Linked DNA regions of Drosophila melanogaster. The gene in region 3 interacts genetically with the main gene of each other region. Each region holds a gene or a part of one and is shown on either strand. Other genes may lie near its edges.

The links.
Region 1: of Rheb (region 3) and Tsc1, changing one suppresses a phenotype caused by changing the other (phenotypic suppression), as found in Drosophila melanogaster (2 studies listed by BioGRID).
Region 2: of Rheb (region 3) and unk, changing one suppresses a phenotype caused by changing the other (phenotypic suppression), as found in Drosophila melanogaster (one study listed by BioGRID).
Region 4: of Rheb (region 3) and Sin1, changing one suppresses a phenotype caused by changing the other (phenotypic suppression), as found in Drosophila melanogaster (one study listed by BioGRID).

What each region holds. Positions count from the first base shown.
Region 1 is NT_033777.3:24,128,706-24,137,087, forward strand, and holds Tsc1 (Tsc1), read left to right. Parts: upstream 1-1,601; 5' UTR 1,602-1,699; intron 1,700-1,790; 5' UTR 1,791-1,960; coding exon 1,961-2,054; intron 2,055-2,114; coding exon 2,115-2,371; intron 2,372-2,432; coding exon 2,433-4,743; intron 4,744-4,800; coding exon 4,801-4,958; intron 4,959-5,084; coding exon 5,085-5,214; intron 5,215-5,271; coding exon 5,272-5,624; 3' UTR 5,625-5,949; downstream 5,950-8,382. Other genes in the region: GatB (Glutamyl-tRNA amidotransferase, subunit B), read right to left, coding at 1-117, 187-611, 667-982, 1,047-1,160, 1,219-1,363, 1,417-1,478; Sec10 (secretory 10), read left to right, coding at 6,209-6,241, 6,302-7,206, 7,276-7,863, 7,922-8,111, 8,181-8,382.
Region 2 is NT_033777.3:23,150,616-23,160,434, reverse strand, and holds unk (unkempt), read left to right. Parts: upstream 1-2,572; 5' UTR 2,573-2,591; coding exon 2,592-2,656; intron 2,657-2,724; coding exon 2,725-2,934; intron 2,935-3,941; coding exon 3,942-4,361; intron 4,362-4,423; coding exon 4,424-4,626; intron 4,627-4,885; coding exon 4,886-4,995; intron 4,996-5,194; coding exon 5,195-5,303; intron 5,304-5,464; coding exon 5,465-5,590; intron 5,591-5,660; coding exon 5,661-6,241; intron 6,242-6,297; coding exon 6,298-6,495; 3' UTR 6,496-8,343; downstream 8,344-9,819. Other genes in the region: VhaAC39-2 (vacuolar H[+] ATPase AC39 subunit 2), read left to right, coding at 1,196-1,881, 1,949-2,315. UniProt on the Drosophila melanogaster protein: Essential for late larval/early pupal development.
Region 3 is NT_033777.3:5,567,268-5,572,924, forward strand, and holds Rheb (Ras homolog enriched in brain), read left to right. Parts: upstream 1-1,653; 5' UTR 1,654-1,772; exon of another isoform or gene 1,773-1,938; 5' UTR 1,939-1,955; coding exon 1,956-2,004; intron 2,005-2,132; coding exon 2,133-2,204; intron 2,205-2,307; coding exon 2,308-2,515; intron 2,516-2,574; coding exon 2,575-2,704; intron 2,705-2,760; coding exon 2,761-2,850; 3' UTR 2,851-3,224; downstream 3,225-5,657. Other genes in the region: CG12746 (uncharacterized protein), read left to right, coding at 1-93; CG2931 (uncharacterized protein), read right to left, coding at 346-1,254. UniProt on the Drosophila melanogaster protein: Binds GTP and exhibits intrinsic GTPase activity. Activates the protein kinase activity of TORC1, and thereby plays a role in the regulation of apoptosis. Stimulates the phosphorylation of S6K through activation of TORC1 signaling.
Region 4 is NT_033778.4:14,409,293-14,415,544, reverse strand, and holds Sin1 (SAPK-interacting protein 1), read right to left. Parts: upstream 3,721-6,252; 5' UTR 3,639-3,720; coding exon 1,929-3,638; 3' UTR 1,694-1,928; downstream 1-1,693. Other genes in the region: CG17385 (uncharacterized protein), read left to right, coding at 4,134-4,202, 4,261-4,820, 5,127-5,334. UniProt on the Drosophila melanogaster protein: Component of the target of rapamycin complex 2 (TORC2), which transduces signals from growth factors to pathways involved in proliferation, cytoskeletal organization and anabolic output.

The DNA.
Region 1 (8,382 bases), about 19 Mb from region 3:
CAATTTGTTGCAATAGGTCAACAAATCGTTTATAAGAAAATTGCAAATGACTTTGTTGGGCAAATCACTTAAACTACGGGTAATGCTCAAGAAATGATCCAGCAGAATAGGTTCGTTCTGAAATAAAATCGAGGAGTGTTGCAATTTCAAATTTTTTGTTGACTCAAAAAGGATCAGAGCACGCACCACTAAAATGATGGCAGTTTCCGCATTCAGGTTGTGCTGCTCCACCAAACGTTGCCTGGTGTCCTCTGGTAATTCTGGAATTTCCTCGCTTAGAGCAGCCACTGAAAGTAAATCCTCTGTTGACATTGATCCAGGCTTTAGGTTTACATGAAGGGGTGGTAGATTCGGCTCCGGCATGAATCTGTAGTCCTGCAGCACCTCTTTGTCACGCATGGCCACTGTGCGCCGGTTCTCCGCATCCCAGTTGCGAGTCTCATTTGTAATTACACCGCCATTAGCCACAGTTTCTAGCTGTCTATTAATTTCATACGTAATTGCTTGCGAAATGCTTCGAACCGAGCCAATGTTTTTTACTTCGGTGCGGACTCCCAAGGGATCGCCTTCTTGGTGAATGGATATGTTGGCATCCACACGCAGGGCGCCCTCTACAATAAAAAATACTCGGTTTAAAAAAAGGCACACAAATCCCTTTTGACTCACCTTCCATTTTACAACTGCATGTCTGCAGACGCCTTAGTATCAGTATTAATTCCTTGACCAGCGATGCCGCTTCTTCGCCCGTTTCTAAATCTGGTGCAAAAACCAGCTCCATTAGAGGAAGTCCAGCACGATTAAGGTCAACCAGGCTCCTTTTGAGATAATCATCGTGCAGAGATTTACCACTATCCTGTTCCAATTGCAACTGCAGTAGTTTGGCGGTCTTGTAGTAAACTTTTTTGCCTGGTGTTATCACGGGGAAAGTCATTTTTCCATCATTGGCCAAAGCGGCGCGCTGCTGCGTGATTTGGTAGCCATTCTGGGGAGGAGAAGTTTATTACTTATAAGGCTTAGCGTGGTGTAAACTGAAATTTGAATCTTACAGGCAAATCTGCATAGAAGTAGTGCTTGCGGTCAAACATGGACACTTCGTTCACCCGACATCCCAAAGCAAGTGATGTCTTAATGCCGGATTCCACACATTTTCTGTTGAGAACCTAAAAGCAGAGGATACAATGTAATGATGGCGTCTTAAGTGAGAGTACCTATTCTCACTGGCAATGTTCCCGGTATGGAGGCATCAAAATACGCCACCGAAGAGTTAAGTGGTGCTCCAAAGGATGTGCCACTGCCGGAAAACAGTTTGGACGCACTGGCAATCTGTGCGTGCACCTCCAAACCCACAACGCTTTTCCATTTCCTGAAATTCAGAGCGTTGGAATGAATCCTTATAATATTAATTCACATAATTACCTTTTGGGAACGTTGGCTAGCTTTGGCGCCGTTACCAGTTTTCGGATTATTGAGTAATGCATTATTTTACATCGATTATAACATTCGCACCGGAATTGGCAAAAAGTTGCGCCAAAACAGCTGATGTTGTTTTGATTGCGGCCAAAGCTGCCGGACATTCGCCAGCGGCGTTGCCAGACAAAACCATCGATTGGCTGGCGATAACAGCGCAAGAGGAATATCACAAAAAAATAACCTTTTCATTTTCAAGACAAACATGTAAAAAAATATGAGTTTAGCAGAGGTAAGCATTTTAAATGTGCACTCCACAACCGAAACAATAGTGCAGTGCATCGAACGCAGTGGGAATTTCAATGCCAACCCTTGTTCTCCAGTTCACAGCGACCAAGACGAGAAAAAGCACACGCAGCTCTGCAAAAGACAACCACGACGACGAGTGAGTGGAGTAGAAGGACCAGGAGCGGAGTAGCAGGAGCAGGAACAGTCGACCGAGGGCGGGCGGAAAAATCAATCATAGCGACAGGAAACCAATAAAGCCGCCGTCATGGTGATTGAGAAGATCATTGGTGACCTGGAGTCCAACATGACGCTGGAGAACGAGGAGGCCAAGCGCAAGCTTGTGGAGTTGCTATCCCAGAGTGAGTCCTCGCCAGTTTCAGTTAATATGCCACCTATTCCAACATACCATTTCCCCACAGACAAGGAGCAGTGGGTGGTAAAGTTCATGCTGGACTACTTCTTTACAACTGGATCTCAGCGCATTTTGGAGGTACTGGTCAAAGCCCAGGCACCTCACGATGGGTACATCTTTGACAAGCTGGACGACTGCCTAAAGCAGTCGCAGCACCGAGTGCAGAGCCTCCAGGTGTTCTGCTTCATTGTGCGCCATCACCCTACTTGGCTGTACAAGATCGAGAAACACCGGCTGATCAAAAGTGTTTTTAAGCTTATGACGGTGAGTTTATGGGTGTTTACAATTTTGTCCGAGTTCAGCATCACTTCCATTTCTCTGACAGCACGAGAAGGAGATAGTTCCGCTGATGAGCGCCCTGTTGTGCATAATTACTCTGCTGCCGATCATACCGAATTCTGTGCCCAACTTTCTTAACGATCTGTTTGAGGTGTTCGGGCATTTGGCCTCGTGGAAGCTGCAGAATAGCAATAAACTGCCGGACGAGAAGCTCGTCCACCTGCAGTTGGGTCTACAGATGCTATTTCACCGCCTGTACGGCATGTATCCGTGCAGCTTTATTGCCTATTTAGTGGAGTTCATCAAGCGAGGCAACGGCGGGGGCATCTTCCAGCATACAATCAAGCCGCTGTTGAACACTGTGCGAGTGCATCCCATGCTGGTGACGGCCACGCCAGAGACTGAGGTAAACAATACGCGATGGAAGGAGATGGAGCCGCATGACGTGGTTATGGAGTGCGCCAACCTATCGCTGCCCGTCCTCTTGCCCGAGACGAGCAACGAAGACGGCAGCTATGCGTATCCCATGACGCCAGGATACAGTCGCATGACTTCAAATACCTCGAATACGGACTACAGCTATCAGCTGAGGGAGTTTCAGCAATCGAGAAATGTCTACACCCGCTTCGATTCGTTTGCCTCGGGTGATGATGTGGGTCCGATCTGGAGTCCGCATAACGAGATTGCCACGACCAGTAGCGGCATACCGCTTACACCCACCACATCGTTTATTTTGCCACTACAACCGGCTATGAACTCTCAGCTTATGGTTGGCATGACTGGCTCCTCACCGCCCGAAGCAGCTGTGGAGGCCACACCGGAAACCACCCCCTTAAAGGATATGAGGGATATCAAGCAGCCGGGACGTGCGGTCAATTCGCATGCTGTGAGAGCTATCTTCGCCGTAAGCCAGCCTTCTTCACCCATGCGCAAGGACCAGCAGAGTCAGTTCAGTTTCCCGGATGTCTCTCGCGAGGCGGAGGAGAGCAGCCACTCATATCTGGAGGTCAACAGAGGAACTGCCTATGACCGTCGCCTGTCGCAGGTCATCCAGGACAGGCATAACGTGGAGCGATCTGTAAACACACCTTGTCCAAGCAGCCTGCCAGAAATTAACTCCGATTTATCCCTTGTTGGTGGTTCCGTCTATCCATCTGTCACGCAGGAGGTCGCTGCAGTTTGTGGCGAGTGCAACGAGACGGATAGGAACCTCTGCAGTGTGGGTGGACTTCATATGCCCACCAGCCGATCCATGCACCAGCTGGCAAAGAAGCGCCGCAATCGTATGGCAAGCTACAGTGGAAATGGTTCCTGTGCGGACAGCAGAAGTTCGGCGGCAAAGAAGGCAAGTTGGAGTACTGAGGCAGAGAACCCAATGCGACGAACCAAATCCTGCTCGGCCCTTTCCGGAATGCGGCAGCAGCATCTGGAGGAGAATGATGACGAGGCCGATTGTTCGAGCCAAAGACAAAGAGGGGAGAATGGAAATACGCAAAAGACTGGCAGCCGCCTGCAGAGGAGCGGCCGGAACCTGGCCATTTCGGCGCCCAAGGATACGGCTAGAAGCTGCACCCATGCCTCCACCCAGACGGTGGAAGGACTGGACAGTGCTCCAGCGCAGTACGAGAATTGGCTTATTGAACTCCTGCTGGAGTGCAAGGAGCAAAGAATCGACTATGAAAGGAACCTTCTGTACCCGCAAGATATTCTAGACGAATACATTAAGCATGCGATCAAGGCCAATGAGTCCTTTGACGCCGAGCAGGGTCAACTGATGTGCCTACAGCTGGAATACGAAAGCTACCGTCGATCCATTCACGCAGAGCGCAATCGACGACTCATGGGGCGAAGCAGGGACAAGCGCAGCCTGGAAATGGAGCGGGATCGGTTAAGGGAGCAGCTTAAGAACTTCGATGCGAAGAACAAGGATCTGGCAAACAAAATGGATCAGGCCATTCGGTTGGCCAACGAGCGCCAGAACATCCACCAGGAGGAGCTGGGCGAAATGAGGGCTAAGTACCAGCACGAACTGGAGGAAAAGAAGTGCCTGCGGCAGGCAAACGATGACCTGCAGACGCGACTCACCAGCGAGTTGGCGCGCCACAAGGAGATGAACTATGAACTGGAGTCTCTGCGAGGTCAGGTCTTCAGTTTGGGAACCGAGCTTCAACACACCCAGCAGCAGGCGGACATTGGGCTGCAGTGCAAGCAGGAGCTGGCACGACTGGAGGCCGAGTTTATTATCATGGGTGAGGTGCAAGTGCGTTGCCGCGACCGTCTGGCTGAGATCGATAACTTCAGGGCCCGCGACGAGGAACTGCAGATGCTACAAGAGAGCAGCAACCTGGAACTGAAGGGTGCCTATTCATTGTTTATATGATACGGATGTTTAATCATTCAGTTTATTTATTAAGATCTGAGGCACAGCCTGGACGAGAAGACATCACAGCTGGAAAGCATGAAGCACAAGATCAGCGACCTGCAGGCCCAGCTAGCCAACAGCGAGAAGGCCATGACGGAGCAAAAGCGACTTCTAAGCACCGTCAAGGATGAGTACGAAGAAAAGTTTAAGGTAGGGCTGATATTTAAAATCGTATACTTATCTGAAATAGTTCGGACTTTTAAGAAATAGTCTGTGTTTACCAGTAACTTCATTTCAATTAAGAGTAATAAGCCTTAAAAATCGTCGTCCTTGCAGTCCGTGAACAAGAAGTATGACGTGCAAAAGAAGATAATTATGCAGATGGAGGAGAAGCTGATGATGATGATGCAGCAGCCGCAAGGAACAACAGGTCATAACACCTGTTCCCCGGACACGGACAGAACTGGTGAGTGCAAGAGCTGCTTCGCAGCTAAAGAATACTTACTATTGCATTCTCCCACAGACATAGCTTCATCCATTGAACGCAACTCACCGCTATCCACGTCGCTGGCCTCGAGCGAGAGCTTATCCGCCAGCCTACGCTCCACGGAGCTGAAGAACCTGCACCAGCTAGTGGACACGCCCACTATTCCGGATGTGCTGAACAGCATGGCCGGTGGCGCTCAGTTCGAGGACGAAGTGCGTCCGCCGGCCGTGGATCTGGCCTCCTCGGCAAGCACCGCCAGTGCCATCAACATCGTGCCGCACGCCTTGGACTTGCCGTCGACCTCCGGCGGCATCGGTCACACGCTCACCCACCCACATCCGCATCCGCACCTGCACCTGCAGCAACAGCAACAGGATCAACTGCAGTAGTAGCAGCAGACGCAGTTTGTAAAAACAAATAAGAACTAGCTTTCCTTCGCTAAACAAATGTCTATTGGGAAAACCCGCACAGAAAATTTACAAAAAAAAGTTATTGGTTCTTCATATTTTCATATTCAGTTCAAAACTGTAACTAAGGTTTAATAAATCGCTGACTCCACGCAATAATTATAAAGGTTATAAAAAATATTAATGTTTGAAATTTTAACTTGTTTAGCACATTGCAATTTGTTGTAAAAAAGTGGTTTTGATACGAGGCAATAAGTAAGACGCGCATTCATATTATAATAAACATTTGATTAAGATCAGCAAACATAAAAGCATTGTTTTATTTTATTTAATTGTAAACATACTATTTGTTATATAACAACCGCCAAACATTTAAATTTTAGCTAAGAGAGCAAACAAAAACGTAAACAAACCGAGCGACATTGCCAGCTGAAAGAAAGTGAGAAGTGTGGCAACCTTAAACGAAACAGCTGAGCGGAAGCAACAATAATATAGAAAGAAGAAGCAGAAAAGAAACGCCTATTAAATCAGATCATTTAAATACGAAAACTTAATAATACATTAAAATGCTATCCCAATACATGGAGGAGTTTGAACAGGTGGGCTCAAAGGTCACGTAGGCCCGATTATGGCTTATATTTATTAATCATAACCAACAGGAACCCTTTGAGGTGGGCGAGTTCATAGAGCGTCTGACTTGGCGCACCAACAATGAACTCCAGAACAGCGAGGACTTTCATCCTGTGGCCCTCCACGATACCTTCATCCAGACCATTAAGGACCTAAAGATCCTGCAGGAGAAGCAACAAAGCAAGTGCGAACGGCTAGAGGAGTCACTGCGCCAGGAGAAGGAGTCGCACGCCAAAAAGATTGCCAAGCTCCAAGAACGCCACCAAACGGCCATTGATGTGTTCGGCCAGCTGGACGAAAAAATCAATTCGGTGGCCGGCAAGATCATGCACCTGGGCGAACAGTTGGAGAATGTGAACACTCCACGCAGTCGTTCAGTGGAGGCCCAGAAGTTACTCAATTTTATGTCCGAGTTTTTAGCCGCTGGCCCTGTGATTGTCAACGATATTTTTGCGGATGCCGCAAGATTAAGTGAGGCCGCAGATGTGATACAAAAGCTCTACGCTATCTCGCAGGATCTGCCGCCCGGAAACTTTGCGGAATCCAAAAGAAAAATCGAAAAGAAATACGATGAAGTCGAGCGGCGGTTGATCGAAGAGTTTGCCACCGCCCAGAAGAGCGAGGACATCGAGCGCATGAAGACACTGGCCCAGATCTTGTCCCAGTTCAAGGGTTACACTCAGTGTGTAGACGCATACATCGAGCAGAGCCAAATGCAACCGTACAGTGGCAAAGACATATTTATAGGCATTGTACCGCTATGCAAGCATCACTACGAGATAATCCAGAAGGTGTTTGCCAATCCGCAGCAGGTTATGTCCAAGTTCATACTTAACATATATCAACTGAAGCTTCACCAGTACGCCATGACTAAGTTGGAGGACAAAAAAGACGAGGAGAAATATCTTCGCACCCTTTATGAGTTATACTCGCGGTGAGTCATTCAGAAGTTACGTTAAATGTCAAAATTTGCGATTACTTTCATTTCACAACCACTTTGCAGCACACTAAAATTGTCAACAGATCTTCAAATCTACATGTCCACGATCGACGACGACTTGTTACAGAAGCTGACACAGCAGATTTTTATAAAGCATTTGGCCGGCTACGCCGAAATGGAGACCAAATGCCTCACAGCCAAGTGTTCCACAGAGCTGGAAAAGTTCTATGCCAGCAAGAAACACCAAAAGACTGCAACTACTAAGGGCTTTCGGAGAAACATGGAGGTGCTGATAGCCACGCGGGCTAACATAAATATTGCTGCCATCGAGGACTATGGCGGGGAGACGTTCCTATCCGAAGAGTTGGCCATCAACATGCTGCAGGAGGCCAAGGCGTCGCTTAAGCGCTGTCGCCTGCTGTCCAACGAGACCGAACTACCAGGCAATGCTATAAAGCTAAACGATATCCTTCTTCGTTTCTTGATGCACGAGCACGTAGATTACGCACTGGAGTTGGGACTGCAAGCAGTGCCACTGGCCGAGGGCAGGGTCTTTCCCCAGCTCTACTTCTTTGATGTGGTGCAAAAGACGAACATCATTGTCCATCTACTGGACAAGCTGTGCCACACATCTGTCATACCCTGTGTGAGGTATGTTAGGACTTTGTTAATTTACATTTTATAGAATGTATAATGTATTCTTTTCTAGTAATACACCCAAGTACTCGGACTATGTGTTCAAAAAACGTATTCTGATGGAGCAAATCGAGACAAAGCTGGACCAGGGTCTTGATCGCTCTATTAGCGCTGTTATTGGCTGGGTCAAGGTATATTTGCAATATGAACAAAAGAAAACGGACTACAAGCCGGAAACAGATGTGGATACAATATCTTCAGCGGTAAGATATAAATTTAGTAAAATCGAGCTTATCTGTCTATCCTTAAAAATGTTTATTTTTCTTTTCTAGGCCTGCTTACAAGTCGTTCAGAATCTGCAGCCCGTGATTGTGCAGATTAAAAAATGTGTTGATGGAGAGAATTTGCAGAATGTTCTTACAGAATTTGGAACTCGGTTGCACCGAGTAATCTACGATCACCTGCAGACCATGCAGTTCAACACGGCTGGCGCCATGTGTGCCATCTGCGACGTGAACGAGTATCGCAAGTGCA
Region 2 (9,819 bases), about 18 Mb from region 3:
TGGAAGCGCATTTCAGCCGTCACTTGTCCATCCCGCGATTGGGACTTCTTGACGGCCACATGTCCAGGGATTTGTGTTTGTGGGACAAAGAACGAATGCAGCCTAAGTTTTTTCCGCATGGAAAGTTTACGGTAGTGACATGGCCAATGCCAACTTTAAACTGCACAACGTGATCTTATTTATTGCCCATATCGACCGATTTTTGTCAGCTGCCATGACTTTGTCTAAATATCTTTAAAGTCTTTGACGACATGGAAAGGCAACAGGTGAAACTCGTGATTTAAGTACAATACTTACCATTTTTTTTTTTTTTTTGAGCACATTCACAACTCCAGAAGGCAGAATTTCTTTGGTGACAGTTCCATTTTTCATCTGCCAGTAGGAATTAGTTCATTTTGATGTTAATGCAACGTGAGAAGGTGACACCCTCTTGTGATGGGCAATTAAATGCTTCGGTAGCAATAATAAATGTCGTTTTATTGCCACATTTATGCGATGCACACGCGGCGACACTAACAAGGCAAAGAAATATCAAAAACAAAGGCCGGGCGAGAAATTCACATGTTTATTTGTTCTAGTTGAATGAACGTGTAACAACTTGCAGTTAGTATGCTATTGGCCCGAGCGCAGCTAGTTGACTGAGTAAACAAACAGAGTTGGCAGCAAGTAAACAAATGGCCCAGAGCAACAGGTAATTTCCGTACAGCATCCTCCAGGCGCATGTGCGGAAATTGCGTTAGAATGGGCCGATAAATAGCTATCTGAAATTCAAATAGCAAGCTTTAACTAGGTGCATTTTCTTATAACTAAAATAATCTAGTTGGATGCACTTTAAAACGAACAAACCAAACAAATAATATCTTTTCAAATTTAAAGTTAAAATTTAAAAAACCGTTAGAGCGCTGCCATATTGTCAAAAAGGATAAACGAATGGCAGCCTTGCACCATCGGTAGCGCCATCTAGCGTGCATCGGTAGATACCGCCACCGAATATTTAAATATTATATATAAATATATTTGTAGCTTAATAAATATTATTTTAGCATCTAGAATCCTTAGTATTTATATCAGAATCAGTTCATCCGAGAAATACCTATCACCGCATGTTCCATCTATCAATTTCTGCTTTCACTTAAAAGTTGCCTGGCGTGTGAATTCCTACTAATAGATAGCTCGAAAATAATAATAAGTCAAAATGTCGATGATATTCAACACGGAGTATGGCTACCTGGAGGCCCTAACGCGCGGATTCAAGAACGGCATGCTAAAGCACTCGGACTATCTAAATCTGACCCAGTGTGAATCCCTCGAGGACGTAATGATCAGCATCCAGGGCACGGATTACGGTCTCATCTTTGGTGGCGAACAATCAGCGCCGTCCGTTGAGGTGATCGAAAGATGCCTTAGGGATCGTCTGCTGCAGCAATACTACTACATACGCAGTCATTCGACGGAGCCGCTGACCACCTTTATGGAGTTCATACGATATCCGTTCATGATCGATAATGTGGCGCTTCTGGTCGCTGGCCTAAACAATCACCGATCCATGAAGCGTCTGCTAAGAATGTGTCATCCGCTGGGCGAATTCGATCAACTGGGCGCCATCGAAGTGGCCTCGAATTCTGCGGAGCTCTTCGACGCCGTTCTAATTGACACGCCCATCGCTCGGTTTGTGCCACGCGATTTGCCCATGGAGTCGTTGCGTTACCTCGACGTGGAGATTGTGCGTGCCCATCTGTATCGTGCTTATTTGGAGAAATTCTACGCCTATTGCAGCCAACTGGGCGGCAATACCGCCAACGTGATGACCAATCTATTGTCCTTCGAGGCGGATCGTCGGACCATTACAATAGCTGTGAACGCTATTGGCAGTGATATCATGTAAGATATCTGTGTTGCTATGAAATTCTTCATATTATACTCATAATGCCCACCTTCCAACACTCAGACCGAAGGAGCGTCTAAAGATGTTCCCCACCTGTGGCTACCTGCCCAAAATAGCCTTGGCCTCCATGTCCACTTTAAATGATACGGATAAAATAAGGGATGTTTGCAATGTGTTCGATGGCTATGGCAAAATGTTTGACAATTTGGAGCGCGACTCGGACGGCATGATTACGCTGGAGGACCGCTTTCTCATGATGGAGGCCAAGAAGAATGTGCAGACCTTCCTGCAGCAGTACCATTTCGGGATCTTCTACTCGTTCATTAAACTTAAACAGTTGGAGGTACGCAATATCGTCTGGATTAGCGAATGCATAGCGCAGCGACAGACGGACAGAATCAACGCCTTCATTCCCATACCCTTGGACTAGAAACGCTTTTGCTTTCCTTCTTCGAAATGTTTTCCCTTTGAAATGTGTGTTATAATATATAGGCGTTGTTATAAATAAAACACATGCATAACAATTTCGCATTAATTTTGGCGCCAAATTTGTTTCGTTTGCGTCCCGGCTAACCACCCATCAACTGGGGTGTGTGTATTTGCTAACCAATCGATATGGACGATGCCGACAAAAATTATCGATATCAATCGACTTAAGGCCATGGATGCCCGACGCACCGATGTTTTTTGCACATCACTAACAACGATGTTGGCAAATGAAACGAACAAGCTGCTGCTTTCCTCGCAGCAGGAAAAACCAAATCACTACACGTAAATAGATGCTAACTAATGCAAACGATGGTTAATTTGACGTGCAACCTTTCCGCCAACCGTTTCAGCTACCTGAAGGAGTTCCGCGTGGAGCAGTGCCAGTCGTTTTTACAGCACAAGTGCAACCAGCATCGCCCCTTCGTCTGTTTCAATTGGCATTTTCAAAACCAGCGTCGGCGTCGTCCAGTGCGAAAACGCGATGGCACCTTCAACTACAGTGCGGATAACTATTGCACCAAATACGACGAGACCACTGGGATTTGTCCCGAGGGCGACGAGTGAGTAGAAATGTTGTGAAATTCATAGTTTCTGATGGCCCGTGAAAACGCTGGACGGGACGATTGCAGTGGCGGAGGATGGATGAGACAGCAATAGCGAACGACGTTGTATTTTTTTTGTTTCCTCTTTGCGCTCTCCTTCCTTCGCGATGTGTGTGTATCTCTTGTCTTCGTGTTTACAAACAAAAACCATAGTGTGTTTGTGTGCAGGGGGGTGTGGTGGGGGCGGTGGCAGGGGCCTGGCGTTGTCTGGAAAGCCAAAAGTGAAATTGTAAGTGCGTATGTGGGCGTGCTGCTTGCTGTATCTCTGTGCATGTGTATGTGTGTGCAGGCGAGGTCACCACCGTGCAAAAGTGAAAGTGATTCCAGCTCTAGTGGGCTAGCAAATTCTTATCAGCATCCGTTTTGTGGTGGTTGTTGCTCTCTTGTCGCATGTATACATGCACAGACGCTCGCATACACACAGGTACGCACAAACAAACACACGCACAGACGTAGGGCATCGCTACAAGTGTGTGCGTCATTGTTTTTATTGCGTTTCGCTTTTGCGTGTTTTCTTCTTCGTTTATTTTGATTTTCCCCCGGCAGCTTCGAAATGTACAGTTATTGTGGCTGGCGAGCTTTGGAGAAAAGCTCTGTGAAGTGTAAGAACGGGCTAAAAGTAAAACGCAATTACGCTTTGCGAGAGACAACAACAATGTCTGTTTTTATGACCCAGACTCGAGGTCCAACCTCTGACCCCGACCTCCATTCTATCCATTTATCGTTGTAGTCTCCTTACAGGGTACGAAGGTGGAAAGAAAGCGGTTTTAGTTTTGAAAGAGAAATTTCTTTTACTTATTAAAGAAATACCCTCAAACATGTATTAAAATGATGATTTTGCTGTAAATGTACAACTTTGTTGTTTTTTGTTACGGTTCTTTTTAATTAATGGGTATCATACAGTCCATTCACTTAGCCTCGTCGCCTGCTTTGACGTCACTAAAACTCCCTTTCTCCCCATTTAGATGCCCCTACTTACACCGCACTGCTGGCGACACCGAAAGGCGATACCATCTGCGCTACTACAAGACATGCATGTGCGTCCACGACACCGACAGCCGAGGATACTGCGTCAAGAATGGACTACACTGCGCCTTCGCCCACGGCATGCAGGACCAGCGCCCACCGGTTTATGACATCAAAGAGCTGGAGACCCTGCAGAACGCAGAGAGCACACTGGACAGCACTAATGCTTTGAATGCCCTGGACAAGGAGCGCAATTTGATGAACGAGGATCCCAAGTGGCAGGACACCAACTACGTGCTGGCCAATTACAAGACAGAGCCCTGCAAGCGCCCACCGCGCCTGTGCCGCCAAGGATACGCTTGTCCACAGTACCACAATAGCAAGGACAAACGTCGCTCGCCCAGAAAATACAAGTACAGGTAAGATTTCCCCTGAATTCATCCTAAAGTCAGTTTTAAACCGCGATATACCATTGTTTTAGGTCCACTCCTTGCCCCAATGTCAAGCACGGCGAGGAATGGGGAGAACCGGGCAACTGCGAGGCCGGCGATAACTGCCAGTACTGCCACACACGCACCGAGCAGCAGTTCCACCCGGAGATCTACAAGTCGACCAAGTGCAACGATGTCCAGCAGGCCGGATACTGTCCGCGCAGCGTCTTCTGCGCCTTTGCCCATGTGGAACGTAAGTATAGAGGATTCGATGAGCTAATATATAGGACTCAGCGTTGTGCTCCACAACCAGTTGTTGTAGGGATGTGTTTAGGGCCAAGTTATGATATTACAGTTCTAACTTAATGTTTGTCTTTTACTCGCCTCATCCATCAAACCGCAAATCTGTTTCCAACTATCACTCAAATCCTTTGAAAACACGTACATCAATCAATGTTTGCTTTGCCGCTCGGTGTTGCTTGTCCATGTAACTACTCCCAATCCAAATAAAGCATGTTCAATTGACGAGAAGACGCGGGATCACACGGTATACCTAAACGAGCTTATTTCCAATGCCTATCCTGATTTAAAAGCTCAGGATGCGTTTCAAAGGGTCGATAATGTACGTATTACCGAAGCAATAACACTCATCCAAATAACGCCATCGATTTGCATCGCCTAAACCTAAACGTACTACCACACATCGTTTGCCGCTCTAATCCAGCTAACCATCATCAACTAACTGCTTAACACTTTCGATAAGCCATTTAATCATGTGTCCTGCTCTCCTCGATTTTTTTCTTTTCGTTTTGTTCTCTTAGTTGTTGAACATTGATGGTAATAGCACCAATAAAATGTTGGTAGACGCTTTGGAAAACACAACAAATTTCAGCAAATTTTTAAGTTTCTCACGACCCCTGGACAGTCGTTGTGAGTATCCCAGAGTCCTGACATGCGTACGTCTAAGTTATACACTAGAAATCAGTTCTTCGTTTTGGTTGTGGACAAAGAATGTCAGCGCTTAGATAGCAAATGTCGTGACCCCTAGCCTAACTGAAATTCAATAATTTTTTGTCTTCACTCTTTGCAAGCAGCTTGCTCAATGGACGATCCGCGCGAGAACTCATTGTCGGCGAGTCTGGCCAATACTAGCTTATTAACACGTTCCTCGGCGCCAATTAACATTCCTAATACGACTCTAAGTAACTCAATTAACGGTAAGTAGTCATCAACGTCCTATGAGTGCCAACTAATTGCTAATGCTAATACTCCATTCCATTTGCACAGATTTTAACTCAGGTAGCTTTGCCGTCAACATTCCCAGCAGCTCGCTCACCTACAGTCCCACCAACCATGCCAATCTCTTCAACGTGGACGCCTTCAACTATGGCGGCTCAAACAAACTCAGCAATTCCCTTTCGGCCACCCAGAACGATAGCAGTCTCTTCTTTCCGTCGCGCATCATATCGCCTGGCTTTGGCGATGGCTTGTCGATTAGTCCTTCGGTAAGGATATCCGAATTGAATACCATACGCGACGACATCAACAGCAGCTCGGTGGGAAATAGTCTGTTCGAGAACACTCTCAATACGGCCAAGAATGCGTTTAGCCTTCAATCTCTGCAGTCGCAAAACAACAGCGACTTGGGTCGCATCACCAATGAGCTGCTCACGAAGAATGCTCAAATTCACAAGTTGAACGGACGTTTCGAGGACATGGCATGCAAGCTAAAGATCGCGGAGCTCCATCGGGACAAGGCCAAGCAGGAGGCGCAGGAGTGGAAGGAGCGCTATGACCTAGCACAGATACAGCTAAATTTGCCAGCAGAGCTTCGGGACTTGTCCATACAGAAATTGAAGCAATTGCAGGTTAGTCGCTTAATTAATTTCCCAATTCCATGGGTTTTAACCTGCTACCATTTTAGTCCAAGCTGCGCACCGACTTGGAGGAGGTCGACAAAGTATTATATTTAGAAAATGCCAAGAAGTGCATGAAGTGCGAGGAGAACAATCGCACGGTTACTCTGGAGCCGTGCAACCACCTGTCTATTTGCAATACATGCGCTGAATCGGTCACCGAGTGTCCCTACTGTCAGGTGCCGGTAATAACCACCCACACCTAGAACATGTTTTATCAGCAACAGGACCACAAGTGGCCCTTTGGCTGAAAATCGGATAGGGATGGGAAAGGGGATTCCGATGGGATATGAATGGATCATGGGGATCAAGACCGCGAACAGCATGACAATGTGGTACTCACAAAGCAAACTTTAGTCTTAAGCAAAACGTTGAAACTTTTGAACAGTTAGGATTTGACACATGCCTACTAATTGTGCATGTGGCAGGGAATATATAATTTATGTTTTCAATCTACTCAAAATATGCAAATTATCGTCATGAATATTAGTAATTACTAGGCACAAACTATTAATTGAATTAGCTAGCTGCTCTAAACGAATAAGTATGTAATTTTATTTTTGTTTATTTTTTCTCATATCGAATCGAATACAGGAAAAAACATTTTAAATTGATTTTGTACTATGATTTATGTAACCAACTCTTTTAATTTTGTTTAATATTCAATGTTTAGGCATACATATTTTCTAATCTACTGCACGAATTTGCAATGTCTCATTTATTTTTTTTTTAACCACATATGTATCTCTATATTTGTATTTAAATATGCTACACTTTCAGTCATATTGTACTTTTCACTAGTATTACATAAGAAATTATGAGAACTAAACAATTACAAGATGTAATTGAATGAAAGATATATAAATATATAATATATTAATTTTTCTAGACACTTTTAGCAATTGACTATTAACAAATTTATAGAAACCAACAAATTTAACAATATATTGTCGCATAGAAGAGCAGAAAACAACCACAAACAAACAAATACCACCAGTGATTTTATATAAGCCGATTTTCAAACTGTATTTTTTATGTATGTGTTTCAAACTTGTGAATGCAAACTACAACTAAAAGCCAAGACAATGGTCATAAAATCAATGTAACTGACGGGTAATCAATATTAGTCAGTACTCAGCTTTTATTTTCCTTTTTCAAATGCACAAAAGTAATTATAGACGTTGAAACGAGAAGTAACTAAAGGCGACAACGCTTTTCCTTATCGAAAGTTCATTTCATTTTGTCTTATTGAAAACCAAGTTGAATGTATTAAAACACTTTGATTTTTGTTTAGGCCTTGGTGCAGCTCGTGTAAGCCAATGCCAATTAACCAGTCACAAAATTATCAACTTACGTATATAATCTATTAGGTTACTTTGTGATTTGAATAGTGCTTTAAGTACTTACTTTGCAGATGACTTCAATTTTCATTTTACTTTCATAGTCTCAACTGGACGCTTCCAAATTAGTAAAAGCATAAAATGAATCGTCAATGTCAAAACGTAGTATTTAAGTCATATTAAATCCAGCATTTGGCTGATTGTACAAGAACGAATATGAACAGATATATATTTATGGGAAATTTGAACGCAGATTCGATGAGTGTGATGTTGAAAGCATAAACAATAAAAGTAACTCGATACAGCGAAATGAACAGAGTTTAATGAAAATGTTAACCAGAGTTAATGTAAAACCGTCTTCAAAAACCATTGTATTTTTCTGCGAATTAAAATTATCAAACGTAATCAATTGGACAATGTTGAATGAAACTGAAACGTGTTGTTAGCTAGTTGAGTTGAATTGATAAAGATGTAATCAAAATGAAACTGTTCTGGGAATGAATTGAATATGAATATGAAATCAACATAGGCATTTATTTGAAACAAAAGCAACACTATGAATATATATATACAAATGAAAAACTGAATTATATTATTACAAAGCTAACTAGGAAAGGCAGCGCAAAGGCTCTTATCTCTGTGTGTGTTTGTACTATGTTTTGTAGAAGCCAAATCAGCAAGAAATACAAATAATTAATAAATATAACAATAAACAATTGTGTGTTAACTTATAAATGCTTTAATAGTTTATGATACAAGTGTACACAAAAAAACTAAAAATCACGAGAACAAACAATGAGAAAATTGGTTTTATAATGGAGCTGTTGAGTCGCAAATCTATTGTGTGTATTACCAAACTAAACTGAAAACTGAATGCATACCTCTCTCAGAATATCACTGACTCTCATCACCGGAGACACAGTTTGAAAGATTTGCTAATTTACTTTATGAATCTCCACGAGATGTACATGGGATGTCTATCGAACTACGCGTTTTTTCAACCCCATTCCAAAACAAACCAATGCAAAGCAATTTTACAACATGTCAAGAAATCCATTTCACGCCATCTCAACTGTGAAGAATCAAACAGAAACCAGATCGAAAAGTATATGTACGTTACATACATATATATTTATAGATGACACATGTATTTTGTATACGCTACTGTAAGAGTGATTTTTATGTGATTTTGAAACTACTTGAATATGTGATCCAGAAATATATAAAAAACAAAAAAAGAACAAAAAAAAAAACGCAAAATAATATTTATATATATAAACGCAAGCTAGCGACAGCAAACAGCAATATAACAAATCAAATTGTAAACCAACTTGACTTTATGTACAACAACAACAATGACGACAAAAAATATAAAATATGTTGTACAGCTCCAGCTCCATTTAGAAAACAAAAGGCAAGAGAAGTAGGATTTTGGTAGTGGAAGAGATATGGACACACGTAGCATACTTAACAAATTGTCAAAAACAAAAAACAAAAAAACACGTAGACCAGAACAACATCAAAATCTTAAGGATACAAAAAAGAACAAGTAAATAAATGTCTAAATTATCAAATTGAATTATTAGCTAGCTTATAGGGTTCTCAGTTAAAAATTTACCAGAGGAAATACAAACGAGTAACAAAAGCAAAGGCAATTACTTCTCTAGATCTAGAACTAAGAACAAATGTTTGCTACCAATTGTTTCAACTAGTTAATTCATAATAAATTAACAAATTGTAGAAAACTGTAACTGAAGGTTTAACAAGCATAGCGTAAAAAAAAAAACAAAACATGACAACTCTGAACACCGAACAGGAATTTTAAATATGAAATCGCGGAGACCGAGCAATTTGCAACCGAAAGTACTGTCTAGTATTTTAAACTTGTCTACAACAATTATGAATATGAATGGATTTATGCAGTTTTGTGCGAACCAAGCCCACACAGACACACACAATAAGTGAAAACTCGACGAACTAAGTGGAATCAATTTAAATAATTTGTTTTTTTTTTTTATCTAGAATACTACAAATGTGTGTCAAGACCTAAATGAAATAAGCAGAATTTGAAACTTTTACTAGAAATAACCGCTGAACTAGATTCGAACAAATTCATCAGCTCTGTATAAGTTATAACTTACAACTAGCCTAGGCTATAGGAAATATGACAAATATATTAATCCATATATA
Region 3 (5,657 bases):
GACAATGGCAGTCGTGGTCCCCACCATCTCGATGGTGGGGATGCGGTGCGGAGACCTCTGCTCGCTGACAAGGAGGAGTCCAAATGGTACTAAAAGCTTTACGTAATATTATTGTGAGTGTTGCTTTCCCGTTTAAGGTTTTTAAACATATTAGACAATTTCTGATTTAAAAATGTGCTGCTGGTTTACCTCGTAATAGGATGGGTAGGGTTTGTTAATAAAAACTAAGCGCGTCAATTGCTAAACGTAAATTTATTGCTCATCTTTAGCAGCAACATCCAAATCTAATTTGCTACATCAAAGTGACCGAAACTAGCCTAAAGGACACGATATGCACACTCAGATTCAAGTCATGGAATTGAAGGCCTGCAGAAGCACCTGTTTTTCGCGCTCCTTTTTCTTAACTACGTCAAGACTGCGTTGTCGCCACGTGCTCTTGCGCAGTTTGATAGGCCGGCTGCCCACATAGCGGCCGTCCATCTCCTTCATGGCCCGTATAAAGTCGGCCGGTTCTCTGAAGCTCACGAAGCCAAATCCCTTGCTCTTGCCCGTGCGCTTGTCCCGCACCACACGGGCCCGCTGAAACGAGGGGAACTTGTTGAAGGTCCGGGTCAGGACCTCGTCGTTGACGTCGTTTCCCAAGTCACCACAAAAGATGCGGAAGTCATCGTCGGGCCAGTCAGCCAGCGAAGTATCCTCCCACACGGTGCCGCCAGCGATACGCACCGTCTTGCGGTCTTTCTTTTTCCGCTCTGTTGTCTGGAAGGATTGCAGCGCCGATGATGCGCGCGCTGCCTTAATGGCCTCCTCTGCAATGGGATTGGGTCCAGACTTTTCCGCCTTGAGCTTCTTCAGCTTCTGCGTTACGTCAAAAGAGACGGCGTTGATGTCGATGGAGGGCGCGGCGGCCACGGTGGGCACGTGCACAGACTGCCGGCACTGATAAAGTTTGGGGGCGCTGCTCAGGACTACGGGAGTGGCAGACATAGCCTTGGAAGAACCACCTCCACTGCCCGTAGGCACGAAGGTGGACATAAACGTGGGTGGAGGCGGCATCGGGGGCGGGGGTACGGTCAGACGCGATCCTCCATTGCCCTGGTGATGCTGCAGCTTGTGCTGCGAGTTTTGGTACGTATTGGCGGCTATGATCGGGCGCACCTGGTTGGGCACGAAGAGATTGCGGGCGGGGGGCTTCGAGATCTCCGCCTCGAAGCGTGAGAGCTCATCCTCGATGTTGCGACGCTTTGTACCCATTTGAAGTGGGGTTTTCTCTTTTAAAAAATCAAATCAAAGCAAGTTTTTACGAAAGTGCTGCAGAAAACTCGGAGTACTAAACAAATATCGATTTCGTTCCCAATCGATTGCACTATTTTTATTTTAAAGGCCTGTTTAGACATGTCCACAGAATCAGGCTCTATTTGCAATATATAACAAATAAAACAGTTATTTTAATATCATAAAACGAAGACATTTAATATGTTTTAACTATTTAAGAAAATAACTGCGACTTTTTACACTTGATTACGACAAGCACCTTTCCGAACGGGCCTTGATATTTTCTGCAATTGTTGACCGTTAAACTAGTAGACGATAGTGTAGTGTGACGGTTCCTCATTAGCTGGCAAATGCCTTATGTTAGTAGGCTAGGAGTGGTATTTCGGCTTCGTCGACACCAGCACTGATTCAACTTCAGAATTACTGTTTTCTTTTAGACGATCTGATAAATAATACTGGAATTAAAATCGCCGGAAAAGCTCTAGCTGTGATAGAAAGTATCCTCAGCAAGCAAAATAAACGCAGAAGCAATATTCCTCATACACACATTTAAAGAAGGAGCACGGGCATACCCACACAAGCGCACAAAAAGTCGAGGGGCGACAGCAAAAACAAAAGTGTGGAAAATCACAAAACCAATAAATTTCTCCATTTATTTCAAAGCACTGGGCCCCAGGAAAATGCCAACCAAGGAGCGCCACATAGCCATGATGGGCTACCGATCAGTGGGTGAGTTTTCCCAGAAAGTTCCGCCAGAAGCACTGACACTGTTGCTGCTGGCACTGGTAATTGCGTAGTATTTCGACAACAGCAAGAACTATGATCAATTGACCATAATAATTACGCTTCGCCCGCAGGCAAATCGTCGCTATGCATACAGTTCGTGGAGGGCCAGTTCGTGGACTCCTATGACCCCACCATTGAGAACAGTAAGTGTCACATCCCATTCCGTGCGGATTTCTTAGAAGCCAGGCTGACTCCATGCTTCGATAGCAGTAGCAATGCGTAATGATCGGTAATTCCCATTCGCAGCCTTCACCAAGATCGAGCGTGTAAAGTCGCAAGACTACATCGTAAAGCTCATCGACACGGCGGGCCAGGACGAGTACAGCATATTCCCGGTGCAGTACAGCATGGATTACCACGGCTACGTCCTGGTGTACTCGATAACCAGCCAAAAGTCTTTTGAGGTGGTGAAGATCATATACGAAAAACTGCTCGACGTAATGGGCAAGAAATAGTAGGCTTCTTCCCCGTGGGTTCCGCTTGAGAGCTAAGCTAATCTTTTTTGCCTTTCAGTGTACCTGTGGTGTTGGTCGGCAACAAGATCGATCTCCACCAGGAACGAACCGTTTCCACGGAGGAAGGCAAGAAGCTGGCCGAGTCCTGGCGAGCTGCATTTCTCGAAACGTCCGCCAAACAGAACGAGGCAAGTACCAAGACGAATCACACTAGCTGAATGCAACTAAGGTACTTCCTTCGCAGTCCGTGGGAGATATATTCCATCAGCTACTGATCCTCATCGAAAACGAGAACGGCAATCCCCAGGAGAAGAGCGGTTGTCTTGTATCGTAGGGCGGCTGAGTAGCTAAAACTACGGCCGAACTGTTGGAAATACGGCAAATCGCTATGGCAATACGAAAATCGATTATCTCTTATCTACACAGTTGGGTCAGCGTGCATGGCGGGGCCGTACCCTTTGTGCGCAGCAGGAAAATCTAAAAATCTAATAGACCTAGTATTCTTAAGACCACACAGCAAGTAACCAATATCAAGCGATCTGAATGCGTCCGCTAAACGCTGCCCAGCAGGTTTTGTGGTTCGCGTCTGGCGCAACACAACAGGTTTAAGTTAGTACGTTTTTTTTACAACAACAATTCAGTTACAAATTTCATATACAAATTCTGCAAACTTTTAGTTTCAATTTAAATATAATTTTTCAAAATACTATTCAAGATTGTATTTTAATGGTCAACATTTTCGATTGTGAAAAATATAGAGGTTGATTTACTAAAGTTACAAGTGCGTCGAGAAGACCTGCCAGTTGCAATTCCAAAAAGCTGGATTTACTTTATCTCGTCCCTATAACTGATTAAATAGGACCAATACCTTAATGATTTCTATAGATTCCCAACCGTTGTGAATTCTCTGGAGACCAAGGTTCAGCAAGTAAAAGAACTGGGAGGATCTCGGTATGGTTCTTAATAAGAGTAATTTCAAACCAAATTACTATTTGGATAAACTGAAAGACTCACCTGGCCACTCTAGCAATATCTGCATCTGTTAGCAAAAAAAGGGGTCTTTAAATTTTAATACCGCTATTTCTTATGTCACAATTGGTCGGACGAATTTGATTGAATTAAGATTTGGCTGGCTTAATATTTCTAAAGACTGATTATAGAAAAAAGACATAGAAATTATTTCGCATTAAACCGATTATGAATAAAAATATTTCTTGTCTTACTTATCTTAAATCTAAAATGCCGGCTAACAGAGCGTTGCGCGGACTAACAGTGCTGTTAACTGTCAGCTGCCATAACCCACCACGAAAATAGCAAATCCACCACAACGCGAGTTCCAATCGGACCGAGAGTTAAATGTTTTCCGATTTTCAAACAGCGAACTTGTGCGTGCGTTAAAATTAAACTCGTTCAGCATTTAAATCGTGTGAGATCTTTGCCTTTTAACGGTAATTTACCAAAGCGAGCGATTCGTATTAAATGTGAATGTTCCCCATGCAGAAGAAAGCGAGCTTGTTTTTCTTCTCTATTTTCTGTATTGCAATTGTTTTTTTGGCTGACTTTGGCTGGGTCTGTGTGTGTATACTTGTGCGCAATGCGTGGGTATTTTCTCAGTTTTTTGTTCTATTTTCAAATTTTATTGCTCTCGCATAATGGTATACATATGTACATCATTATGTTTGACCGTTATTTCGAATCTCCAACACCGCGAGTTTTTTGTGACGGCATTTCCCACTCACGATTTGTAAGCAATCTCTATACATTTGTATGTACATATGTATGTGGATAGGCATGTTTGTACAACTGCACTTACAACCCGCTAATCAGGTGCAATGCACATACATTCATCGATTCCGACTCGGAATCCCAATCGGAATCCGAATGGGTGGGTACTGGCTTTTCTTGTTGCTTCCTTTACGGGCCACAGCCTTTTATCGATTTAATAACAAACGAACGTCAGCGAGTCGTTGGACTCTGCAAAAACCGGCACTCGCACTTGGCGGCGATGTCTGGCCAGGATTAGAGATGGGAGCTTTCAGATGGCAACGGAATAGATGTTATTGACGTACTTACCAAAGCTTACATATGTATGTGCAGATATGTTTGATTTCCAGGTTCATTTAGCTGACTGGCGATAAGTGTTGCACGCGTATCAATATTCATACCCCCTGGTGGTGGTGGTGGATCTACAGAACCAGGCTATGCCCATCTGGGGGATGGGCCCATGGCTGATAAGATATGTCGCGATTTTATAGCGCCCATAAAAGCCGCAGCAAGCCCACAAAACAAGTGAAACCTGCCGATTGTGCTATCAGGGGATTAAACTCACAAAATGAAAAATCAGTCCATACTACATTGTAAATATCGTTGAAGCTCTTATTTGCAAATTAAAACACATTACTCCTTGGCTTTAAAGACACAATCTAAATGGAGTAACAAATTGAAATTATACTTATGTATTTTCCTTACCAACAACTCGCTAGTTTGATGACCTTAACTGACCGCAATTAATAGTATTTTTATTTATCATCAAGCTGGCCTGGGAGTCCCGTTAGAGTGCTTAATTGGCACAGCAAGTGCCAGTGAGGCAACTGCATTTTTCAAATTAAAGAGAACTAGCGACCCACAAAATTCGTACAGCGAATGAGCTTAGCACATTTTCCCCGCATTAATGCGGCTGCATTAATTGCATTATGTACCTGCGAGCCCACTTGTGTGCATTATGTATGTTTAAACACACTCCTTCCGCGTATTTACATATATGTGTGTACATACATACGTATGCATGTAGCCATGCTAAAAGATAGTCTAGATCTAGATCAGTGCAGCCAAGCAGATGGGGTTTTTGTGCTCGGATGTGCGCCGCCAAAAGGGGAAAGTGCTCACTTATCCAATCCCACTGCCGAGCTACCAGTCGCAATTGAACTAATGAAATGTAGCCATCCTCCAACACGTCATGCAGCCCGATAATCATTACCACAACTCAGTTTGCAGACACACACACTTGCGGTAGAAGCAGTAGTTTCTAAATCAAATTTAATATGCTGCAGCTAAAGTACATTCAGAAAAAATCTAGTTTGGACTTCGTTCGCTGTATAATTTTAGTTATTCGACCAAAATGAAAATTGAAACTGAAGCAAT
Region 4 (6,252 bases), on a different chromosome or scaffold from region 3:
AGAATGAAAAACGTATCTCTATTCAGATAGCTAAATATTCGTAAATACATATGTATGCACTCGTATGTGCGGGGCGGCCTTCAGAAAATGGCAACAAACGCGACATTAAATTATGCGCCTAGGCCTATTATTTTATGCAATTGATAAATTGACAACGAGGTCCGCTCACTTTTGTGTTTTTCCATTTTTTCCATTTTATGTTCGCAGTGAAAATCCGCTCACATGCGTGCCAAGTTTCTTGCCCCGCCGACTGCCACGCTGTCAGAACCGCTGCCGGTCCCACTTTCGGCCCCGCCGATTATGAAAACAGCTCAAAATTGTGGAAAGTTATACTAACTAAACAGAAAAAAAGAGCATAGCATCCCAGCCTGCCATTATAACGACTTAATCGAGCGGAAATAAAGTTCTTAAGCATCATAAACAGAATTTAATTGGCAGTTGGCAGACGAAAAACGAAACGCGAAACGCATTTCGAGGGGGTTGCAGAAATTGTCAAATGGCATTTTGCACACTGCATATATGTATGTATTGTACATACTATATGTGGCATGTATGTATATAAAATGGCATAATGCCTGGCAACTTTCATATCGAGTGAAACTGTTTGTCATTCAATTTCAATGTCAAGGTTGTTGCCGCTTTATTTTTAATGCATTTATTGCCTTTCAATTAGCCGCAGTCGCATCCTTGTCGAAATTAGCCGCCTCTGCTGAATTTGCTTAGGCAAATTAGCTGATAACTATGTTGCTTTCGGTGAAATTCAGTGAGCTGTAGCGTAAAAAAAAAAAAACAAACAATTCGAAGGCGACGCACTTGCCGATAATAAATTCAATTCGTACTATAAATACCATTGCATTTGACAAATTGACTGCGATATTCAAATTTGTCTTGCGAAAGAATGGGCCGAAGTTTCTGTCAAGGCTGAATCAGATAGGCATAAATCATTTAACCCCAAACAGACTGGTCATATCGAACATGAAAATGGGCGTTTTCCTTTTATTTTATCGGCAATTTTAGATCGCGCGGATTTGTTAGGTATTTTGTTGTTTTTTTTGTTTTTTTTGCTGCCTATGCGGCGTATGAGTGATGCTGAATTTAGGTCTCACCTCAGCCACTTCCTCGGGGAATTGCAGCGTCAGTTGCAATGTTTTGTTCACTTGAACATAAATCGAAAGCTGACATTTGCCTCGATTTGGTCACGCCAACAGCATCATCATCGCCATCAGACGAACGGCCTCAAATGTCGCGCATTTTGGCGTGATTTCGAGTCACTAACCTTGGCCTTAGAACGCGCTGCTGCAATCGCTTGGTTAGCCGACGCTGCAGATGCATATGCATGCAACGATCGTCTAACGGCAGTTAGCCATTATTCTCGACTACTCCACAGCTGTTAGCAGGCGACCTAGGCGCCCAACCCAGTCATCGCTGGCATTGCAAAACTAAAAATAAACAGCCAGACCGAAAACAATATGTGCAGTAATACGACTAACCGTTGGATCCGTCCCCGTCTGGTTGTCTGTGCGATTAATTGCACATTGATTACAGACAATTGCAGTGGGTAGAGTGAGAAAAACGGAAATGAAAACCAGATATACTGCTAAAAACGCGGCCAAATCGCGCGTGAATCGCTTCAAAACCGCAATGTAAACGCCAGCGGCAAGGCGGAAGCAAAAATGTAGAGATTACCGATTTTAAGTGTAAATTTTGCAATTTTATTTTCAGGACCAGGCTTCGTAGTTGGGTGAGTTCAATAAATACTTACAGGCTAGGCAAACATGTGTAACACAATCTTTAGTTAGCAACTAATACAACTTATCGAACAGGAGGCGGAGGCGGAGGCGGAGAAGTAGGCGGGGACGTTGCAGCGGCAGTGACAGTTGCCCGCCTGCTAGGCAAACGAGCGACAGCCGCTGCCATAGGAATAAATACTACAACTTCAGCTGCCTCTTCTCCTGCTTCCGATCGCGCTGCAAAAGGAACTCGCGCCTCAGATCGCTGGATCGCATCTCTAGTATGCAGTTCAGCTTGTTGTGGATCTGCTCCGCCGTGTGGGTGTCCGTATCGAAGTCGTAGTGCTTAAAGCGAATATTGCTGCTTGAAAAGAGTCCGGAAGAGTGACCCGGACTGCTGGGCGAGTGGGCAATCCCACCACTGCCGCTTCCCGCATTCAGTGTGGTTACGCTGGCGTTGATCGGCGCCGAAGTGCAGCCCGTGGAGAAGGAAGGGGACGAGGAGTTTGACTTCAGCCAGATGCGCAACAGAGCCTTCAGGTGGCGTCGCTCCAAAATCTCGCAGTGAGCAACAAAGTCAATGGGAGTGGATACGGGCTTCTTCTGCGGCCAGAACTTGGCATTCTTGCACTGATCGATCTCTATTCTCTCACCAGATATTCCCAGAGTCACATCGGATTTGAAGAACCTCTTGTCGATGATGTTGAGGCGGAAAGTACGATGCATGGGTGCTTCCAGCATATCGTTGTGATTCAACAATCGCTTCTCATACTCCTTGACATTATCGTGTGGACTATCGCCTCCTCCACCTCCTCCACCCGGATCACTAGTTCCTCCATTTAGGCTAATATTTTGCAGAGCCTTGACAGCCGCATCGGACAGAGCTGTCTTGTCTTCCACGGAAGTCATGGATTTACTGCCCAGCTGGCTGTGGTAATCAACTCGCGTCACTGGAGCCAATGGCCGACGCTCTGCGAGGGTCAGTTGGGAGAAGCCAAACTTAGAGCAGGGTTCGCGATTGTCCAACGGTGGGAAGTCTTCCATATCATCATTATCCTCTGTCATATACAAAGCGTAATGCTGCAGGGACTTCAAAGGAACGTCGGGATATTGTAAGGAGGTCCTGTAGCAGACAAAACCAATTACCTCCTGGATTTTGGCAGTGGCTACGACGCAGATCTTCAACGGGTAGTTGCGATCCGGCTCGGGAAGCATATTTAAAAACACGTTTATCCGTTTCGTTTGCATACCCACTTGGGAGGTGCCATCGAAGCGGGCGAATTCAATGAAGCGATTCTGTGCTTGCTTTGGACTTTTGGCCAACTGTTCAGTGAGCTGGCTCTGAACACCCTCATCTGACAGATCATCGTCGTTGGCTTTCGGTTCATTTTTAACTCGCTCAGCTTTGCTGAGGGGCAACTCTTTGCGTTTAAAGAAATCATCGCTCTCCGGTGGCTGCACTTCCTCCTGGTAGTTAACACTCTTGATGCGCGCCGCCCTTCGCTTGGCAATATCCAGTTTCTCTAGTTTTTGGGCAGTGTTGGAGCGAAAGCGGTGGGCGCCCACCTCCGGATACATTTGGATGTCAAAGGAGTGCGTGGACATGTCCTCCTCGTCGTCGCTGAGGTCCAGTCCCGGATAGCAGATGAAGTCCACTTCCTGGAGTGGCGCATCCGGATGCCGGGTGTTCCGCTCCGGTGTTGTCCCGCCCCCCGTCGGCGGTGTCTTGTGCGCCCGTCGCCAATGATAGTGATCTCCTCCAGCGCCCGAGTTACCGAATTTTCGCAAATAGTGTTTGGGCATGTCATCGCTCAGCATCACCGTCTCGCACATTCCGGTGTCGTCCGTGGATATGAAGGAGTTGCGGATGTGGGAGAGCAGCCAATGCTGGTTGGAGTAGGTCGCCATGGTAGTAAACAAAAGAAAATCTCTTTTTCAAAATTAATTTCTATTTATCTCAGCATCTCGGAAAAATGCACTAACGCCTTTGGATTATCTAGAGATGGAACATTGCGGTTGTTACTGGTCACTTTTTGGTGGTGGTAACGAATAGCACGCACAAGTCACCGTTCCCAACAGAACATAAGAGGAATACCTACTACATGAATATACTTAAATTATGCAATTAAGATAAAGGTTATACCAAGTACTTATTATCAAAGTAATATTTTGAATTTACATGCAAGTCTAGTTGTAGCGGTACTCGTTAAATCTGGTCTTTTTTCATTCAACGCAAACGGTCACTCTAGGCCACCATATGACTTTTTTCTGGACGCGAAAAATTGCCGAGTTACAGAATAAGTTAATTATAGTGAGTTTATCGTCGCCTGACCTGCCGTTTTTCGATGTCCACTTCTTGAGAACTCCCAATCGGATAGAGTCGATGTGCTAGCCAACGGCGAAATGGCGGGCATGGAGGTAGAATTCGACGAGACGGTGGCCAATCAGTTCAGCTGCAAGCGCTGCGACCGAGTAAGTGTGTGGGAAATGTCTCCTATTACCTCAATCTAACCACTATCCATTGATGCAGACCTTCAGAAGCAAGCGGGATCAGACGTTGCATCGACAAGAGGTGCACAACCACAACAAGACCACCTACGAGTGCAAGCTGTGCGCGAAGAGCTTCTGCAATTCGGGGAACCTGGATCGTCACATGAAGGTGCACAACGATGTGCGGCCTTTCGTGTGTAACATTTGCTCGAAGGCCTTCGCCCAGGCTGTGAACCTGCAGCGCCACTATGCGGTGCACAGCGGGGAGCGGCCATTCACCTGTAACTTCTGCAACAAGTCCTTCACCCAGCAGAGCAACATGAAGCGCCACAAGATGACACACACTGGCGAGAAGCCGTTCCGCTGCCAGCGATGCGGCAGGTACTTCTCCCAGCTGGTTAACCTCAAGAAACACAAGCTTGGCCACCTCAACGCCAAGCCCTACCAGTGTAATTACTGCGAGAAGGGCTTCACCCAGCTGTCAAACTTTAAGCGCCACTTGCAGTCGCACATAAAGGAGGGCGTCGATGTGGACGTGCCCGCCTCTATCCAGGCGGCTGCCGCCCTGGCCAGGGAACGGCTTGAGTCGGAGCAGAAACCGTGAGTACTTGCCGGCTGTAGAAGATCAAGGTGCCCTTTGATTAGTTCAACCTGTTCAGACCTACCTTAAGTTGCCTATTCGACACCGATTATCGACGGGTCATGATTAGATTCGGTGCTGATTAGTGTGCTTAACTGTGCTCATTTCCCTTTTATGAACAATTAATACTATATGCATTTTTGAAGGTGTACACGTTCCCAATCAATACTTTTATATATTAATTGACTAGCCTCAAAACTATCCTTGATCCTTCTACATTTGCTTGTTGTGAATTTTATTATTGAATTAAAACATTTCATTTTCAGAAGCTTTTTCGAATGCATGGTGTGTCGGGCCATCTTTGATACCTTCGCTGACTATGAGAAGCACGAAGCCAAGTGCCATGAGGACCACGAAAGGGCCCAGCTGGAGGTTAACCAGATGTCCCACATGCATCCAGACGACTATTTGCCCATGAAGTTTGCCGTGCCCGATCTGGATACGCACGAAATCATAATTGAGACTACACATTAGAAATGGCAATAATTTTAAATGAAATACCACGAAAACACACAACCCAACTCACACCTAAACATACAAATAGCGGCGATTCCGACGGAAAGATGGAATGTGAAGAATATTGCATTGAATATACAGATATGAATATATATGCAGGCCAACATAGTTCTCCATTGAATTACACCAATAAATGCAATAAATATGCAGATAACCAATGCGAATCCTTCGCTATCCCTGTTGCTAATCGATCCGATCTCTGTTGACATTGTTGCGTGAATCAGGCTAACCCGTCGATTTACGGACCCTAAAGACGTTTTAACTGCACCCTTTATGATGTGCCATTTTATGAGCATATGTATGATATTCGCTGGATTTTCCCGAGTCACATCATCAATTCTCTCGTTCGCAAGTCCCAAAACCTCACAGTGCGTAAATTGTCGCTTTAATGACACATTTCGCACAGCCGTAAAACTGTCCCTTTTCCAGCTTGTCAGGCCAACATTCTTGCGTCATTAATGTGACAAATATGTTTGCCCAAATAGTCACGTTACCACTCACTGTTGTTCGTTAAGTTCGAAGAAGAAAGGTAAAGGAATCGCCCGATGGGTCTATAATTTATACATGTGATTTCTCGACTATTTGATTGAAACTAATTAAAGGCACGTTCCTGACTTGTTTACCCGCCAGCAGTCATGGAGCAATAATTGATCGCACAGTCCTTGCTATCAGCATCCACCGCTCGCTCTGACCATGTCCTTGTGGCCTTCGCAGTCATCGTTTTTGCGGCACTAAATCAAACTATTTATACATCTGACTCCCCGGACTACTCACACTTCCGCTCGCACAGGGAAATAATATTTCATGTCCACATCGTCGTCCTGCCACATTTTCTGGCTGTGCATGTGTGCGCCTGGTTCAATTGGCATGCGGCTG